Cricetulus griseus: one gene and its partners. The protein of the gene in region 2 interacts with the protein of the main gene of each other region in a biochemical or structural test. Links are inferred from orthologs where the notes say so. Each region holds a gene or a part of one and is shown on either strand. Other genes may lie near its edges.

Evidence for each region.
Region 1: the proteins of Smad2 (region 2) and Erbin form a complex in vitro, tested with the Homo sapiens proteins (2 studies listed by BioGRID). The link is inferred for Cricetulus griseus from reciprocal best matches to the Homo sapiens genes SMAD2 and ERBIN.
Region 3: the proteins of Smad2 (region 2) and Smurf2 form a complex in vitro, tested with the Homo sapiens proteins (3 studies listed by BioGRID and IntAct, with this or other methods). The link is inferred for Cricetulus griseus from reciprocal best matches to the Homo sapiens genes SMAD2 and SMURF2.
Region 4: the proteins of Smad2 (region 2) and Ski form a complex in vitro, tested with the Homo sapiens proteins (4 studies listed by BioGRID). The link is inferred for Cricetulus griseus from reciprocal best matches to the Homo sapiens genes SMAD2 and SKI.
Region 5: the proteins of Smad2 (region 2) and Zfyve9 are reported together in a solved structure, tested with the Homo sapiens proteins (2 studies listed by BioGRID and IntAct, with this or other methods). The link is inferred for Cricetulus griseus from reciprocal best matches to the Homo sapiens genes SMAD2 and ZFYVE9.

The regions. Positions count from the first base shown.
Region 1 is NC_048595.1:322,138,888-322,143,179, forward strand, and holds the start of Erbin (erbin), read right to left. Parts: upstream 2,804-4,292; coding exon 2,615-2,803; intron 544-2,614; coding exon 426-543; intron 1-425. UniProt on the Homo sapiens protein: Acts as an adapter for the receptor ERBB2, in epithelia. By binding the unphosphorylated 'Tyr-1248' of receptor ERBB2, it may contribute to stabilize this unphosphorylated state.
Region 2 is NC_048595.1:163,540,384-163,543,898, forward strand, and holds part of Smad2 (mothers against decapentaplegic homolog 2), read right to left. Parts: intron 2,070-3,515; coding exon 1,946-2,069; 3' UTR 1-1,945. UniProt on the Homo sapiens protein: Receptor-regulated SMAD (R-SMAD) that is an intracellular signal transducer and transcriptional modulator activated by TGF-beta (transforming growth factor) and activin type 1 receptor kinases.
Region 3 is NC_048600.1:119,795,850-119,799,364, forward strand, and holds part of Smurf2 (E3 ubiquitin-protein ligase SMURF2), read right to left. Parts: intron 2,279-3,515; coding exon 2,076-2,278; intron 1-2,075. UniProt on the Homo sapiens protein: E3 ubiquitin-protein ligase which accepts ubiquitin from an E2 ubiquitin-conjugating enzyme in the form of a thioester and then directly transfers the ubiquitin to targeted substrates.
Region 4 is NC_048595.1:1,092,113-1,096,387, reverse strand, and holds the start of Ski (ski oncogene), read right to left. Parts: upstream 2,807-4,275; 5' UTR 2,609-2,806; coding exon 1,640-2,608; intron 1-1,639. UniProt on the Homo sapiens protein: May play a role in terminal differentiation of skeletal muscle cells but not in the determination of cells to the myogenic lineage. Functions as a repressor of TGF-beta signaling.
Region 5 is NC_048595.1:41,182,528-41,186,042, reverse strand, and holds part of Zfyve9 (zinc finger FYVE domain-containing protein 9), read right to left. Parts: intron 2,663-3,515; coding exon 2,557-2,662; intron 1-2,556. UniProt on the Homo sapiens protein: Early endosomal protein that functions to recruit SMAD2/SMAD3 to intracellular membranes and to the TGF-beta receptor.

The DNA of each region.
Region 1 (4,292 bases), about 160 Mb from region 2:
TGAACATCTCGTGATCTCCAACAGTGGACATTAAAAGGGCAAGCTCACAGAAGCAGAAAGCAAACGACAGTTAGCAGACTCAAAGCAGGGTGAGGGAGTAGGATGATTAAGATGTTGATCAGAGTAAAAACTTAGAGGAATACATCTAAGTGGCCTATTATACAACATGGACTATAGTAATATATTTAAAATCTACTTATTTTCCAGCTGTTTTGAGGTATCACAGATCTTATAACTATAAAGAATTCTAAGCCAAGAATATGACACCATATTTTATTGCTTTTGGCATAAAACAGGTTATAAAAATTTTAAATGTATATTTATATAAAATAGATCCTAGATGAGGCTAATATACTTTTAAACATTTGAAAAACAGAAATATTAACAATGAAATATCTGAAAGGACAAGAATCTGGAGGACTTACCATTTTTGCTGACATCCAGTTCCCTGAGATTAATGAGATTTGCAATGGATGCTGGTAATGTTGTTAAATCATTGTCAGGCAAACTTAGTTTATGTAGAGACTGACAGTTAAAAAGTTGCTAGGGAAAAAGGAAAGGATTTTGATTATCTTTTACATTTCTTTGGGTATCCTGTGAAATATTTTTTATACAGTAAATATCCATATTAAAGCTAACTGTGTTAGTCCTACATTAACACTAGGAAAAGCCTCACATTGTTCTCACTATGTTATTATGGATCTGAATAAATTTGAATCACTTAGACTGATTTATACTTTTAACCTGCACCCACTGAGAACCAATATATAAAACATTTTTGGCTATATTCTCTGTTGAAGCTGTCAAAGAGTAAGCAGCTATTATACCACATTGTAAGTTCTGGAGCTTGTCTTTCAATCAAGCTTATTTCAAAAAGGAAGCTATACTGAAGAACATCCCGTGAAAAATGACGAAGTGCTAGGTCTGGGGTAGGTACATGTCAGCATTTCTCTTGTATATATGCCTCTAGGCTGAGATCCTAATTCGTGACTAACCTAGGATCTGTCAGAGAACTAGCCATGGATAGTAATGGGTTTGTTGGGAGTACACAGTAATGATGAACAGTAAATTATAAATGATACTACAATCACACATAAGTGTGATTCACAATTCACCTTTAACATTTTTCCACAGCTGTTAAAGACTTCGCCACAAAATTATCAAGAATAAACTGGGCTTAGTGGCTCAAGCCTATAATCCCCAGATCTGGGAAGCTGAGGCAGTAGGATTGCAGTGAAGTTTGAAGCTATCCTAGACTACAAAGTGAGATTCTGTCTCAAAATATTCTAAAAATTAATTACCTAGCATAGCATTGACTTTCAAATGGTTTTAATATTGGTCATCACAATTAAAAGCCTTTGTATACTGTCATCCAGGATGTTCACAAACATACAAATAATCTAAAACAACTACTTCATGAAACAAGGTCTATATACAACATTGTTTATTTTCTGTTACATTACAGTTAGGGTTGCTGGATTAAATATAGGATACCCAATTAAATTTGAATTTTAAATAAATAATTTTAGTATAAGTATATCCTACATACTGCATATTTGCACTATTTATTTCTTATTCATCAGAAATTCTTATTTAACTAAGTCACCTGTAATTTTATTTTCCAAATCTCAGTCCAAATTACAGTTTATTTTTCAGAATTCTGATAACACATATTGTTTGGTGGCTGCAAGTGGCTGGTTTTGAAACAAGGTCTCACTACACATATGACCCAGGCCAAGGCAGAACTCATTGTGTAGCTCAAACTGGCCTTCAACTAAAGATCTTCCTCCCTAAAGCACCACCATGCCCAGCTCTAACCAGTTTTTTAAGCCACTTAATTTCAAGTCTCCATTTACAGCTTCAAAGGGCATTGTGGTATGCACCTTTAACCACAGGCCTTGGAAGGCAAGGGCAGGCAGATCTCAGAGTTGAGGTCAGTCTAGTCTACAAGGTGACACCCTGTCTTCAAACAAACAAACAAACAAACATAGCCATTCAGATGGCTATAACCCTAATAAACAATTTAAAGCTACTGCAGCTTTTTTTTATAAAACATGAAAACAAATACAGGTAATAAAAGGAAAGTAAGTGCATACTAAAAAAATTTAGTACAGTGGTAATCTGAGAAAAAAAAAACAACAAAACACAGCAATCTTTCCCCTCCAGTTGTTATTACATTTCAGAGATGCATGTTCTCCAAATCAATTCCAGACAAAATGGAGGGAAGCAGGGTTCCACCTCTAAAATTTATAGAACCATAGAAGCATGATGTGGTAGTTGAAATTCTACAATTAGCCCCAATTATAATGCTGCATATAGAGGGCTTAGACAGTGAAATTTCAGTTTTTTGACTAAATCTAATGGCTCCAGAAGTTGAATAGATATGTTATCTATTTTGATGGTTATAAAATGCTTCAAGTAAAAATGAAATTTTAAGTTATTCACACAAGTACTTAAATAACTCAAACAGAGGCTTAAAAATCTTTATCATTTTGAATTGTGCTTATAGTAAGATGAAGCCAGTGAATGGAAACACTTGTGTACAACAATATTAAGAATGTAAACATCTATGAACAGAAATTATCTAATGTAATTCTTGACAGTATTAATGTACCTTGGGAAGCTCTTCAATCTGATTAGCATCTAAATAGAGCTCCTCTAAAGTTTTTTCAAAGGTGAAAATCTCTTTGGGAACTTGTTCCAAGCTGCAATGAGAATAATCTAGAGTAGTGACCGTTTCCTCTTCTCCTCGTAGACAGCGACATGGCACCAACCGCACAAACAAACTTCGTTTTGTAGTCATTTTTTAAAAGCTGCAGCATATAGATAAAAACAAATCAAACTGTATACAATACAACAAACAACTTTTCCAACAAATTACCATCCGTATAGCACAACTAAATATCCACAGGCAAAATACCTCCTCACCACCACACACACCCAATGGAGCATATTTAAGATTGCTTTAATATCTACACTTATATATCTACTGGACTTTATATCAAACTCAAGACCTCCAGTACTTTACAAAACAATCCAAGATGTAACCATTCATGTTTTTCACAGGTCTTAACCATCAACCACCATTTAACTTTCCTGTGTGGTGGTTTGAAAAAAAAAAAAATGGCCCCCAAAGGGGTGATATTACTAGGAGGTGTGGCCTTACTGGAAGATGTGTGTCACTGTGGGGTGGGCTTTGAGGTCTCTTTTGCTCAAGCATCCCTCAGCATGACTGCCATTGACTTCCTGTTGCCTACAAGACGTAGCACTCTCAGTTCCAGCACCATGTCTGCCAGCACACTGCCATGCTCCCCATCATAATCACCATGGCCTGAACCTCTGAAACTGTAATTGAGCCACTCAAATGTTTTCTTTATAGCGTTGCCATGGTCATAAGATGTCTCTTCACAGCAATGAAAACCCAAACTATGATACTATAATTCTCCTACATGGAAACTCCCATCTACTTCAAGTATAATTTTGTGTCAATCAAATACTAGCCTAGTTTTTGAAAGACTTGAAGATTCTAAATTGTTGAAGATCACATGTGAGTCAACTCATTTAAAATACAGTCTTTCAGTTAACCAAGAGAAAAGGCTAGTTTTGAATTAATAAAAATTCTCAAGGCCAATTTTATTAAGAACTTGTGTATAAATTCCAAGTAGGCTAACATTAAACTAACATAGTAATAATTTAGTAAAATGAGGATGACTGCCAATGGGTAAGTAAACCTTTGTACATAAATATAATTCTTGCCTTAGGCAAGGAAACAAGCACCAAGATCTCAGGCCCAACATGTAAGAAAGTACAAAAAAAAACAAAAAGATAAGTACCTTAAATATTTTAATTGCTAAAAAAATATCTATTAAATAAAACATCAATGTTTAAATAAAGACATAATCAGTGTTTTTTTTTTGTTTTTGTTTTTGTTTTTTTCCTTGACTCAGGATCCAATATGGCTCAGCAAGGCACTACACTAATAGTTCTACTTCCCACTTATTCCCACTTATGGTACTTAAATGTCTGACCATAGACAGGGTTAAGTACTCCCCTTACACTCATTCTCACACTCTGACTTTACTGAATCACTAGGCACCATACTGAAATTCTTTAGATAAAGTATGTAATTATTTTCTTTGTCTTCATTACAATTTTCCAGGGAATGTCCTATTGTTTCCATAGAGAAGCAGAGTTTCTTAACTAGGAAACAGCCAGAAATTAGAGAAAGATCTTTAACACAGTAGTGTTTCTTTTTTTAGAACTCAGACTTGTAAAATAGACTTTTGTAAAAG
Region 2 (3,515 bases):
CTTTGGGTTTGATGCTGTCCCAGCAGTGCTGATCTCCTTCAGCTCTTCGAATGCTCCATGGCTCGCTCCTTCTAGGTTAGGTGTTAGCTCAAGAATCGCTTTCCCAGATGCCTTCCCCCATGTTTTACCAGAAGCATCCTATCTGCCATTCTCTAGACAGTACCCTGTTTACCTCCCACAGACATTTAAGCACGGGTTAAATCAACGGCTATCTCAGCAAAGGCAGGAACTAGAGCTATCTTGTTCACCTTCACCCAAAGGTTAAGAAAGTTCATGGCACATTAACAGGTGAACAATAAATATTTGAATAAAAAATTACTATACCAAATTTACATGAACACATACATACGCACACAAATATAGGAAAATGGGAAATATCAAATACAAAACAACCAAATGTTGAAAAGCATCGAAAATGACACCTGTACATACATGTAAGTATGGTTTCAAAGAGTTAAGTACCAAAGGTATTTGTCTGCAAAAATATTCAAATTTACAAAAAGGGGATCAGGAAGTATTTTCCATTGTACGGAGTTGCAAACAAGAAGGGAGTCAAGACTGGACATGACTGCTGTGTGCTGCAGAACGGAGGACCGACAGAACAAGCTGGTATCCCCTTATTGCAGAGCAGAAAGGTCAGTGACCTACACACACCCAGGATTAGTCAAGAACAGCTCAGACTGCAGGGAACTGCAGGCTAAAAATCTTGATAAACAGCTTAGTTCCCAATCTTTAAAAATTTGAAATTAGGTAATACAACATTCCCTTTATAAATTACACACAATACACTTTAAAAAAACAGATGACCCCTATCTTCTGACCGTACCCCAGCGTCACTCTACGTATTTGCAGAAGCAAGTACTTTTGCCAAAGGTCCATTTTGTAATACAACCTGGTAGTTAAGTGCCATGAGGCAGAAGGTCAGCTGCCTTTACAGAAAGATCCTTTATTATTATACTGGCTTTGGAAGAAGGAAACACATACTGAGATGATTCCAGAATAGCCCTGAAAATAATCATACTGCCACCTGTTCATGTTTTGAGACAAAAGTTAATCAATAGACCAACAAGTTTCACAAAGTCTGTTATCATCTGTAGAAGTCTGGTTCTAAGACAAGACTTACACCCCACAAACCTTCACTGGACCCAGGATTAACTACCCCAGCAGCCATCAGTGCAGCTATTTACCACAATGACATCATGCTGTACTGTTATGTATCAGAAAAGAAATGGGATGAAGAGCCCGAAGTTTCCAGTAAGGTTTCCTTCTAATGCAATTCAGCAGGAAATAAACACACAAAGAAAGAATGACTGCTAAGATCCACTGGAAACATTAAGGTCAAGGATTTCCAAGCTAATCCACTTTTCTTCCCCCAAGTTTGTTTATTTTTGGTAAAAGGCAGAAAAATTAGTTTCTACAAGGAAAATCTGCTTCTAAATGATAATTTGAAAATCTTAATATATATATATATTATATATTAAAAAAGACACAAAAATAACGGCGAAGTGGGAATAACAGATTAGGTACTGTAATTTATAAAGGCTTGCCTAGACCAAGAAGCAGCACACACACCTCAGTTATGGAAACTAAGAATGGATACAGACAGCAGAGTACTGCAATACTGGGTCTTGATACATTACCTGTATACACAACTACTACTGTAATTAATAACCTTTGGGACTCTGTCTTATGCCCAACAAGACATCACTAAGTCTTTAAGTCTTCTCTTCCCACTTTGGGGAGGGCACTTCTAGACACTAATTTTCCCATCTAATATTCAAATATAGGAAACAGATTCCACAAGGTGCTTTAACTGATGAGACCTCAAGTGCTGTTTTCACTCTGGAATTTTTGGATAGCAAACAGTCCACGGGATCATACACAAATACTATGACAGAAGAGTTGTTACATGAAGTCTTTCCATAGACTCAAATGGTGATTGACTTTATGACATGCTTGAGCATCGCACTGAAGGGGATCCCATCTGAGTTAATACTTTGTCCAACCACTGCAGAGGGCCATTCAGATGAAGCTCAATCCAGCAAGGAGTACTTGTTACTGTCTGCCTCCTGTTTGAGAGAACATAAAAATCAATTAGGAAATTAAAAGGCTGTGTATAATAAAATCTATCTTAAGAATAATTATTAACTTTGTATATAGGATTATTAGCTTGAAAATGTTTTTTACTGCTGAAATGATATAAAGAGTTTTGTCCTTTTTCAGAGACTGTACTTACTTATGTGTCATATGCATATGTATGTGTACAGGTGCATGTAGATGCCTGAAGGGGGTTGGGAGGGGCAGTTTGGACTCAGTGCTTTTCTAGATTGTTCTTTACCTTGTTCCCTTGAGTAAGAGTCACTCACTGAACCTGAAGCCCTCTATGCTGGCTAGAATGGCTAACCAGTAAGTTCCTAGGCTCCATCTGTCCCCACCCCACCATCCCCCATCCCATGCTGAGGTTACAGGCACACACAGCCATGCTGGCTCTTATGAGTGCTGGAGATGAGTCTCAAGTCCTTATGCTTGCATAACAAGCACGTTAACCAACTGAGCTATCACCCTAGAATTTCATCTTTTCAAAAGATTTACAAAAATATTTTCTTTTGAAGTTAAATTTGTATACTCAGGGGATACCTATGAGAATTTAGGTACTACTATTAGTGAGACTGGCAGGAGAGACACAACCTAGGAAAGATTACCCTAAGGAAATTAACATATATGGTCACCCTGCTTTTACATGTATCAAATGAAGTAAAAAAAAAAAAAAAAACCTCAAATTTAAAGTTTGCTGACCCAAGCTGATCCTTACTACACAATGCTAAGACTCGGAACTGACTTTTCTCTAGACACCTAGACACATAATGAGCAACAACTTGCCAGCAACATCCCTTGGGCTTCTGGTTTAAGAAGCAAGATAAAAACCTTCTAGTGCTTCAACAAAGGGGCCAATGCTTATTCCCTGAATCACACAACATCCTCCTGTTGCTCTAGTCTTAGGCATTGGATTTAGTTCTATCTTATTTGCTATACAGTGTCAGTCAATACATTTACTTTTGCTTCTTCAACATGACATTCTTCAGTCACGATAAAAGGCTCCCCATCTTTAAACAATTCATGTCCATCAGCAATTAGGAGTGGATATTCAAGCGGCTGGAGATGGCCAAGCAACTAAAGAATTTGCACTGCTTTTTAGAGAAGTGAGTTCAGTGCCCAGCACCCACATCTGTCAACTCATAAATACAAGTAACCCTCTAGCTCACATCTGTAAATCCAACTAACTCCTGGATTCCACAGGCACTTGTACTCACACAAGCACAGACACATACATACACATAATAAAAAACATGGGGGAGGCACTATGTATATATAACTCACAATGAGACCAAAGGTGAGAGGGGTCACTTACTCAGCTGATCTCAACTGTCCAATCTTATTTTTATTCTACTTCTAATCAAACTGCTACTCTGCTATTAGAATTAGTTTCCTACACTGCCCTTTCCTATCTCCTGAAG
Region 3 (3,515 bases), on a different chromosome or scaffold from region 2:
GGAGTTGCAGACAGTTGTAAGCTGCCATGTGGGTGCTGGGAATTGAACCTAGATTCTCTGGAAGAGCAACCAGTGCTCTTAACCCTGCTCTTAACCGCCCGGGTACACTGTTTTTTAATTCAGTTTTATGACTATGTAATGTGCTTTGTTTACATTAGGGTTTCTATTTTATACCTTAGATGGCCTGGAGTTTTGACAGGTAGCCCAGGCTAGTCTTGGAGTTGTCTCATTGCCTCTGCTCTGCTTCCTGCATTCTGAGATTGAAAGTGTGTGGCACCATGCTTGCAACCCAGTAAAAACCTTGATATATTTCTGTTCAGAAAAGAGAACTGACAAATTTGGGTATAAAATTGCCATAGTAAAAAAAAAAAATCATTAGCCAGGGCTAGAGAGATGGCTCAGAGGTTAAGAGCATTGACTGCTCTTCCAGAGGTCCTGAGTTCAATTTCCAGCAACCCACATGGTGGCTCACAACCATCTATAATGAGATCTAATACCCTCTTTTGGTTTGTGAACACAACACTGTATACATAATAAACAAATATATATATATATATATATATATATATATATATGTATATATACACACACACACACACACACACACACACACACACACACACACACACACATATACATATACACATACAGACAGACATAAATACATACATTTCACCTTCATTCCCAACAACCTGAGTGACCCTCCAAGGGAATTATCTCTAAAATGTTTTCCTAACCTGCTTTTTATGCCAGACATGGTCAGATGATTCCCTAGAGATTAAGATCATTTATTTCTTGCAACAAACCTACACCATTGTTACTATTATTCCTCTCACTTTACAGGAGGTAAAATGTAGGTTCTCAGAGGTTAAATAATGTGATCGGCAAAAACAAGTCTGTTACCCATTCTGGAATTGCTTACTTCATAGTATGCCAACTTACGGGACACAGCAAGTTTTTTTGTTTTTTGTTTTTCTTCAAAATAAGAGGCTACAATTTATTTTAAAATAAAGTTATAATCATTTATTTACAAATAGTTTTTTTTAATTTACTAGTAAAAATAAAATAACTTAGAAAACGTAATTTCTAATTTTGGTCATTAGGTGTCACCATCAGCCAACATACAGTGTTAAACTGGAAAGGAAGTTAGTATCTGTCCCAAAAATCACACTAAAGGTTTAAGATAAGCCTATACAATAGTATTGCTGTAACTTTATATAGTGTCTACTTGAAAAGTAGTCTCATTTTATTCCACAAGCTTCCTACAATAACTGTGTGGTTAATATTTACTACACTTTATTATAAATGAGCATAGGAGCTATTATGGTTCATAAATAACTAGCTAAGGTAAAACTGTTGGTTATAACTGTTTTCTAACCATTACAGACTTTTTAATAAAAATTGGGAGTTTTATATTTACGTTTATTTTCACACAGAATCCCAAAACCTGGATTAGTTAATTCTCACTCTCTTGTCTCTGTGTCCAGTGTAGTATGTGTCTTCTGTGCCCACTATACACTCAAAATGAACACTGGGCCTTCCCAGGGCCTTGAGCATGCTAGCAAGTACATTACCATTAAGCTAAATCCTCAGGCCATATTGACTCTAAAACAATGTGTGGTAAAGCAAACATATAATCCCAGTGTGTGTTGTATGAGTGCAAGGAACATCAGGAATTCAAGGGCAGTCTGGGTACACTGTGAGTTTGAGGTCAGCCTCAGCTATAGAAGACCCTACCTGAAAACAAAAGTAATATTTTTCTTTTTTAAAGACAGAGTTTCTTTGTGTAGCCTTGACGTACCTGGAACTTGCTTTGCAGACTAAGCTGGCTATACTCGGCAACAATAACAATTTTTCAAGATAATCTCTGGCCAGGCAGTGGTGGAACACACCTTTAATCCCAGCATTTGGGAGGCAGAGGCAGGTGGATCTGAGTTCAAGGACAGCCTGATCTACAGAGCAAGTTTCAGGATTGCCAGAGCTACACAGAGAAACCTTGAAAAAAACAAAAAAGAAAAGTTAGTTTTCTGACTTTCTTAAAACAAGTTGAAATTTTCCCTTTGCTGTTATCATACCATAGCCTTCTGGTAGATCTGGAGGCGTGTGTAAGTGTGTCCTGCTCATGTAATTTCTATGTCGCTGGGACCTGACTCTTCTCTCTGCTAGTCTGGGGTCTGAAGACTGTCCACATGTTGCACCATTTGTTCCAGTAATTGGAGTATTCTCATCCACAAAGCAGCTAAGAGGTCTGCCAGGACTAGAATATTCTGAGGCTGGTCTGTTGAAAAGTGACAAGGGGTAAAAAGGTTAATAATTAAGACATCAAAAACAGAGTTTCTAGATATCGTATATACTATAGCAATAATATAGTAAATCAGACAAGAAATGAGATGAATAAAGCAAACAATGATTTTAAGAACCTTATTAAGAGCAAGCCTAAAGTTCTTTTTTCTTTCTTTTTTTTTTTTTTTTTTTTTTTTTTTTTTTTTTTTGGTTTTTTGAGGCAGGGTTTCTCTGTGGCTTTGGAGACTGTCCTGGAACTAGCTCTTGTAGACCAGGCTGGTCTCGAACTCACAGACATCCGCCTGCATCTGCCTCCCGAGTGCTGGGATTAAAGGCGTGTGCCACCAACGCCCGGCAAGCCTAAAGTTCTTATTGACCAAAGAAACTCAAGTACTGTTGCAATTAAGTTTCTGAAAACTCCATACATACTTATAGATGTGCTCCTGAGTCAGTAAGGGCGAGGACTTGGATACAGCTGGCCTCTAGACCAGATTTCCACTATTCTCCCTCTCACATGGCTTTTGGCAAGCAGGTGTTCCTCTTCTCCTTGAATTTGCCCGAGTCATCTGACCTTTAGTTCTTAAAAACAGTACCTCTTCCTAGGTATGGCTCTTTGTCATTCAAAACACAGACTGGTGATATTTTATTTAGGATCTAACAAAAAAGCTTGCCTGAAGAGTGCAATGTTAGCCACACTAGTTAACCACAGAGGCCAGGCAGTGGTGCAATACACTTTTAATCCCAGCACTTGGGAGACAGGGGCAGACAGATCTCTGTTAATTCAAGGCCACTCTGAATCTACATGAAATTGATCCAGTCTAAAAGAGAAACAGCTCACACAAAGGTGATCCCAGCACTTGGTATCCCATGCCTTCAATCCCATTACTAGAGAGGAATAAAAATGCTGGAGGAAACAGGAGCTCAGTGCAATCTAAGGTCTGAAGGAAACAGATGCAGTCTGGAGATGCAGTCTGAGGACAGGTGGCTCTTTTGGTCTGAGCACTGGTAGAGGTGATAACTCTTTAGTGGCTGGCTGCTTTGCTTCTCTGATCTTCAGCTTTAACCCCAATATCTGTGTTAGCATTTAATTTTTTCCTCAAGAGAGGGGGGAAAAAAAGGGAAAACACTATTACAATGGAGAGTCAGGTCTCTGTATGATTATACAATGAATGATTTAAAATTGGAACAATTAAATGAAGGGATAATCAACTTAACCAGGATTGACATACTGG
Region 4 (4,275 bases), about 160 Mb from region 2:
GACCCAGGCACATGACCATGGCTCAGTGCACTATCCTGTCTTCTAACCCCATAGTGCTGGCACGAGCATCTGAGCCACCTCCTCTGAGCCCAAAGACCCCACACCAGAATCACCAAGCTTGTAAACAGAGAAGGCAGAAGTCTACTCCATTCAATAGTGGCCGGGACAAAGGGACCATGGCAGTCCCCTAAACCTGGATAGAAAGACCACAAACACACATGACCCAAAGCAGACAAACACAAACACAGACACACCCAACTCAGACAAGACTCCTTGCCTGCTCCCAAGATAAGAGGTGTGAATGCTTCCCAGTGGCTCATCCTCACTAGTCCCACATCTCTACAGTAGCCCCAGCAAGTCCACCAGTCGCTATATTCAAATGACTACCTCAGGCTACATTAGCTGACAAGGGTGCAGACAGCCCAGATAGGCCTCCACTGGTAGGACCCACATCAGCCTGCCTACTGCCAAGTCCACTTGAAAAGACCCGCCTGCAACCGCCTGCCATCATGCACTGCCCTAGCTGGGGCAAAAGTGCCATAGGACACACAGTATGTGCACACTCTCTGCAGCCCCCAAAGAATTAGGCAACGGTCCTTCTTCAGAGCCCCTTCCCCCCACGATTCTGACACTCTGCTGGAGGGGCGCCCAGAGAAAACCGGGCTGCAGCATCTATTCACAGATTTAGAAAAAAAAAAAAAAGTTTGATGCAATAGCTGAATTAATTAGGTCTCCCAAGAATAGCTGAGCCAATGCAGCATTCTGTGTGTGCAATTTAATAAGCAGGGATATTTAAAAGTTACAGATACTTAGGATGCATATGCAAAGAAACTTCCTCTGGACCCCAGTGAAAGGTTTTGGTACTAAGTGGCCAGGGTCATGCCAAGAAGATCCCACAAAGCCCGTGACGCACACACGGCACAGCCTAGGCAGGCAGGCCTCCACACCAAGTGCAAGAGCAACAGAAGGAAATGGGTGAGTCTAAAGAAACTGCATACTATCAGCAACTCTGAGTCAGAGAAGCAAGACTCTGCTACCATTGACCAGGCCAAGTGGTCCTCAAGGTGCACCAACAGGAGACTCTAGGGGCTGCAAGTGCCAAGTCTCTGCCAGGACAACTAGCTAGCTTCATTTTAGTGTCTTTGCCCCATGATTTAAACACAAAACAAGAGAGCCAGTAAACATACAAGGCGTATCAGCTGGAAACCACAAGAAGACATCCCTGTCATCAGAAAAAAAGGGGGCAAACTTCATTCTCATCTGTCAAGATCCCATGGAGATCTGGGCCATAAAGTCATAGCCTGGGTTCTTTCTCTTCAGGAAGTCCAAGCTCCCAGAGCTTGAGGCAGCCTTTCTCAGACCTTCAGAGCGTAGCCTATGTGGTCAAGGGCTATGTGTCCTGAGAGGGCTTTTTTCCATTCACTCTACAGTGCTCAGACAGCACCAAGGCGGCCTTATGGCCTTACCCACAGGAGACTAACTAGGCCCCTAATTTCCTGAAATCAAAACAACCCAAAGCCAAATAAGGTCGAACCAGGTGCCCCAACATTTAGAAGCCAGAGTGCCCAGCCCAAGAGGACCACCGCCTCCCCTCCTTGGACAAATGGCTTGCCAACCCCCAAGACCTGGAGACACTTACCCGGGGCACCCTCCGCTTGTACTTGTTGGCATAGTCGAACTTCTCCTTCACGTCGTCCAGGCAGCGGCCAAGGCGGGCCTGCTCCTCCTTGCCTGTGTAGTCCTGGCTCAGCAGGATGTAGGCCCGCCAGTTGGCTGAGTCGAAGCCCCAGTGGCAGGTCCGGTTCTCCAGGGCCTTGTGCGAGTGTACCACGAACTTGTGCGGCGGGTACATGAGGCGGCAGTCGAGGCACTGGATGCAGGCGGCGCTAGGACTGCTGTACAGCTCGGGCACCAGCAGCCCCTTGCACTTGCCGAAGCACTCGTGGTACACGCGGACGCTGCGCTCGCTGAGCTCCAGGCCCAGCGCCAGGCTGGCCGCCAGCTCCTTCTTGCAAGGCGGCGGGTAGGCGCCGCCGTAGAGCAGCGCGTTACACAGGCGCTCGGCGTCCGTCTTGGTGATGAGCCCGCACGAGGGCGCGGAGAAGGGCAGGATGCCCATGACTTTGAGGATCTCCAGCTGGTCGGCGGTGCAGCGCGAGCAGTAGATGTGCAGCTCATCGCACACCGAGTTGATCTGCTGCAGTGAGAAGTCGCGCAGCACCGAGTTGAGGATCTGCGGCAAGCACAGACGCTTCTCGCCTCCCACTACGAAACAAGAGATGGTCTCCCCTTCCAGCACGGTCTCACAGCGCTCGGTGGAGCGATCCGACGGCATGAAGAAGGGCCCGGGCAGTACGGGCGGCGGCGGCTGGATGGCAGGCAGGTGCAGCACGGGCGGCGGCTCCGCGGCAGTGGGCACCGGCGCCGGCACCGTGGCCGCGCCCGCCTCCTTGGCGCTCTCCTTCTTGTAGGCCTCCTGCGCCCAGCGCGCCGAGAAAGCGGCCGGGCCGCCCAGCGAGCTCATGGAGCTCAGGTGGAACTGCTCCAACGTCTTCTGCAACCCCGGGTGCGGCTGGAAGCCGCCCCGGCCGGCCGCCGCCGCTTCCATGGTGCGATCGGGCTCCCCGGGCCGCTCCCGTGCGCCCGGGCCCCCACGGCCTCGCCGCCGCCCCGCGCACCCCGCCGCCGACCGCGACCGCGGCCCCGACGCCCCCCGTCGCCGGCTCACGGCCGATCACGGCCCCGGCCTCGGCCTCGCCCGGGGCGCGCGAAGGCGAAGGCGGGCGGGCGAAGGGGTCCCGCCGCTGGAGCCCGCCGCCACCCGGGCCCGGCGCCACATCACGCGCCCCGCGCCGCGCCGCCGCCGCCGCCGCCCCGGCCCCCCGCGCGCCCCCCGCGGCTCTAGGCGCGGCATGCCCCGGCGCGCGCCGCCAACGCCAACGCCAACGCTCGCGGCCCGGGCGCTCGCGGGGCGCGCGCGGCAGGTGCCGGCCGCGAGGCGCGAATCGCCGCGGCGGCCGAGCCGAGGGGCCGGGGAGAGCGGGGGCGCGGGCGCGGGGCCCGCCGGGCCGTCCTCGCGCGGCGCGGCCGCGCTGCCCCGCTCCTCCCACCGCGCGGCGCCCTCGGGCTCGTCCCGCGGTGCTGGCCGGCCGCGTCGCGCCCGCCGCTGGCCCCCGCCGCCTGCCCGCCCGCGCGGCCGCCCGGCTCCCGGCCGCCCGCGCCCGCGCGCGCCGGCCCCGGGGCGGCGGAGGCGCTCTAGCCCGCGGCTCAGAGCGCGGCGGCGGCGCGGGGCTCGGCGCGCTCGGCGCACATCTTTCGGGCGGCTCGCTCCGGCTCGGACTGAGCGCCGGGAGCTGAGCTCACGCCGCCGCGCGCCCCGCCCCGTACCCCCGCCCCGCCCGCGCCGGCCCCGCCTCCCGCGTTGTTTGTTGCTGTGCGTCCGCCTCAGCCGGAGTGAGGGCCAGGAATGTGACCAGCTTCGGGCCGGCTCTTCCAAGAACGCGCGCTCCCCCTCCCGGGCTCGGTGGCGCTCGGCTACGCCCGGCCCGTACTCGGCCAAGCTCGGCTCCGTCCGCCCACAGTTCGACTCCGCTCGGGTCCCCCGGGCCGGAGCTCGGCCCCGCTCGGCCCCGCTCGGCCCCGCTCGGCCCCACTCGGCCCTACTCGGTCCCGCTCGGCCCCGCCTTGTGAAGGCCGCTGGAGGCGGCTGCAGCGAGGCGCCTGGGGCCCCCCTTCCGGCCGAGGCCGCTTCCTGCGCGGCTGGGAAGTCTCCGGTCCTGCTGACACCACGGTCTTGGGGCCCCGAAACCCACAAGGCCCCTGCCACAACCGCAGACCAGCTGAGTGGCGGTCCGCAGTAGATCTGCGCCGCTGCCTCCTTAGGTCCCGGGGTCCCCATTCTACGGAGATAACTGGGAAATAGCCTCCACTCCCCATACTGCTGGGCGTCGTTCTCTACAGGACCGGGACGCCACGCGACACCCCAGAGTTTGCACTCATAAAAAGGACCCCAGGTGCCCCCTCATGACAAGGATGCCACAAAACATTGGGGTCTGGATACAAGAGCGTCTCAAAGCACCCTAGCGTCTCCACACGACCGAAGTGCCTGGCCCCCTATGATAAGGACACCACAGCATGCATTCCAGGTCCCTGCATAAGGACACCACGAAATACTCAGGACAGGCTGTCCTTATGATGAGAAGATACGAGAGAGAGAAAAAAAAAAAAAATCCAGGTGCCCATACAACCGGAACCTCTCAAAGAATCACCCGGTGA
Region 5 (3,515 bases), about 120 Mb from region 2:
TAAAGATTTTAAAATTTATTATGTACACAACATTCTGCTTCCATGTATATCTGCACACCAGAAGTGGGCACCAGATCTCATAACTGATGGTTGTGAGCCACCATGTGGTAGCTGGGAATTGAACTCAGGACCTCTGGAAAAGCAGTCAGTGCTCTTAACCTCTGAGCCATCTCTCAGCCCCCTTCCCCCCCCACCCCCCCTCCCCCTCCTCCTCCTTCTTAATAGGTTTTTTGAATCAGGGTTTCTATGTGTAACAGCTCTTGCTGTCCTGGAACTCACTCTGTATATCAGGCTGGCCTCGAATTCAGAGATCTGCCTGCCTCTACTTCTGCCTCTGCCTCCCAAGTGCTGGGATTCAAAGTGTGTACCACCATTGCCCGGTTACCAGGCTAATTTCTTATTAACTCAAGATAGCCTCCTGGCTGAGTTTCCAAGTCATTGTGACTACAGGGGTCATACTGCCGTGCCAGTTTTCACGGAACTTAAAGCTTTCTGGGTTTGGGATCTAGCTCAGTTGGTGAAGTTCTTGCCTCATACGATGATGAACTGAGCTTGACTCCCCCAGAACCCATATAAAAATGCTGGTGTGGTGGTGTGCTCCCAAAATCCCAGTACTCGGGAGGGGGAGACAGGAGGATACCTGGGGCTCACTGTCCAACCTAATTGGTGACCTCTAGGCCAACAAAAGACTCTTTCAAAGGAGAGAGATGATGTTCCTGATGGTGACACCGAGGTTGTACATACATGTACAGGTACACGTGACATGGTATGTCTGTGTAGGTCAGAGGACAACTTTGTGGAGTCAGTTCTCTCCTTTATCTTTTTTTTTTTAAAAAAAGATTTATGTATTTATTATGTACAGTTTTCTGTCTGCATGTATGCCTGCAGGCCAGAAGATGGCACCATTACAGATGGTTGTGAGCCACCATGTGGTTCCTGGGAATTGAACTCAGGACCTCTGGAAGAACAGCCAGGGCTCTTAACCTCTGCGCCAACTCTCCAGCCCTCCTTCCATCTTTTCATGCATTTTGGAAATCAAACTCAGGATTGTCAGGCTCTATGACAAGGGCTTTCAACCACGGAGCCATCTCACAGCTCACAGCTCACAGATTGAGTTCTGCTTTTCAAAGGACCTACTTTCCTTCCCTCCTCTCTCTCCATCCTTTCCTGTCTGTGTAGTCCTGGCTGGCCTGGAACACACTGGGGAGAGGTTAGGCTGGCCTTGGACTGGCAGCAATCCTCATGTTCATCCTGAGTACTGGGATTGCAAGCATTCACCACTACACCTGGCTTTCAACAGATTCCATAATGGCTACTTGGCCTCTCCCTCACTCAGCAGCCATTAACTGCCTATAGCCCTTCATCTAGAGTGGAGCCTTGTGACACTCCCCAGTCCACTTTGTCATGTCAACTCCTGTTGTCATCACGAGGGTCTTGCTTAGGCGACCATATTGTTGAGCTTCCCATCACACAGAGATGGCACTACCTCACAGCAGATGTGCTGGTCCCCTGACTCTGACCATCTTTTTGCCACTCTCATGAGGTTACTCCAAGCCTATGGATAGGGGTTGTGTAGGACTTTTAAAAAAATTAATTGATGTAGGATGTTGGTAGCCCAGGCTGGCCTTAAATTTGTGATCTCCCTGCCTCAGCCTCCCAAGTACTGGGATTGCAAGTGTGTGGCCACACCTGGCTAGCTGCTTAAGAGCTGGCTAGATCTGGCTTTCAACCAGGAACTTACCATTACTTGTTTCTTTTGTAATTTTTTTTAATTTACTTATTTTTATTGCATATACAGTGTTCTGTCTGCATATTTGCCTACACACCAGAAGAGGGCACCAGATCTTATGATAGATGGTTGTGAGCCACCATGTGGTTGCTGGGAATTGAACTCGGGATCTCTGGAAGAGCAGCCAGTGCTCTTAACCTCTGAGCCATCTCTCCAGCCCTCCTTTGTAATTTTGACAAATCTTACTGGGAATTGTTTTTTTTTTTTTTCAAATATTTATTTATTATTATAGTGTTCTGTCTGTATGTATCCCCGTGGATCAGAAGAGGGCACCAGATCTCATTACAGCTGGCTGTGAGCCATTATGTGATTGCTGGGTATTGAACTCAGGACCTCTGGAAGGCCAGCTAGTGTTCTTAATCACTGGGACATCTCCAGCCCAACTGTTGGTCTTTTAAAGACCATGTTATTCAGTGGTCTTTGAGGGCAGTATGACATACTCAGCTTTCTGAAGGATACAGCCCAGAAGGTGACCACCAGAGACAGCCTTCTTGCCTTCCAAAGCAGAAGACACATCAGAGTGTAGCAGGCTGTACTTTTGGACTTTCTTTCCCAGTGAACTAAGATAGATTCAAGGGAATTAAATATAGTAGATAAATGAAAAGGTATTTTTTCCTCAGAGAAGCTTTTTTCTTAGAAAAAGTTTACTTTTTTTTTTTTTTTAATATGTATTAGTCACACAAGTACCATGCAGAGTGTGAGGAAGTCAGAGGTCAATATGGGAGCCGATTGAAAGCAGGGCAAGTGCACCAATATTCACTTCTTACCTCTGTCCATCTGATGACTTTTCCATTTGCTTTATACTCAGATCCGTGGAATATCTTCACATTTGTTATAGATTCCATGGACTTGCCATCTATAGGACTCACCACACTACAACAGAGGACAGGGAAGGAGGTATCTTGTCACATTTTACTACCAAATACCAAACACGCCTTGCTGAAGACATCTGCAGCATACATATCATGTCAAGATGCAGACTGCTCATGGGAAGGGGTATGCACTGAAACAATTCAAGCACAAACCAAAATGTAGACACTTTGCAAGGAGCCAGTTTTCAGAGTTTACTGTAGTATAAACAGGCTCTTGACTCATCCTGCTCTTTCCCTAGCATTTCTTTACCAAATAAATGGCTACTCACCCAACCCGGTTCACACTCTACTCCTGACTCCTAACATTCACCATGCTCCTCTTTGCTCATCTGCTTGAGAAAGGCAGTTCTGAAGGGGAAGGGCCTGACATGATATCCCTGGATGCTGTAGTTCAGGTACCAACCACTGCTTGGAATTTAGAGAGTTTAATGAAGTTTTTAAAAACTGGGGATTTGGCTCAGTGATAAGAGAGCTTGCTCGCTTTGATTCCATTGATCCACATGTCTGTTTTTATGCCAATACCAAGCTGGTTTTATTGCTGTAGCTCTACAGTAGAGCTTGATGTCACGGATGGTGATTCCTCCAGAAATTCCCTTATTGTACAGGGTTGTTTTGGCTATCCTGGGATTTTTTGTTTTTCCATATGAAGTTGAGAATTGTTCTTTCCAGGTCTATGAAGAATTGTGTTGGGGTTTTGATGGGGATTGCATTGAATCTGTAGATTGCTTTTGGCAAGATTGCCACTTTTACTATGTTGATCCTACCTATCCAAGAGCATGGGAGATCTTTCCATTTTGCTCAACTATATTCATAGCAGTATTATTTGTAATAACCAGAACCTGGAAACAACCTAG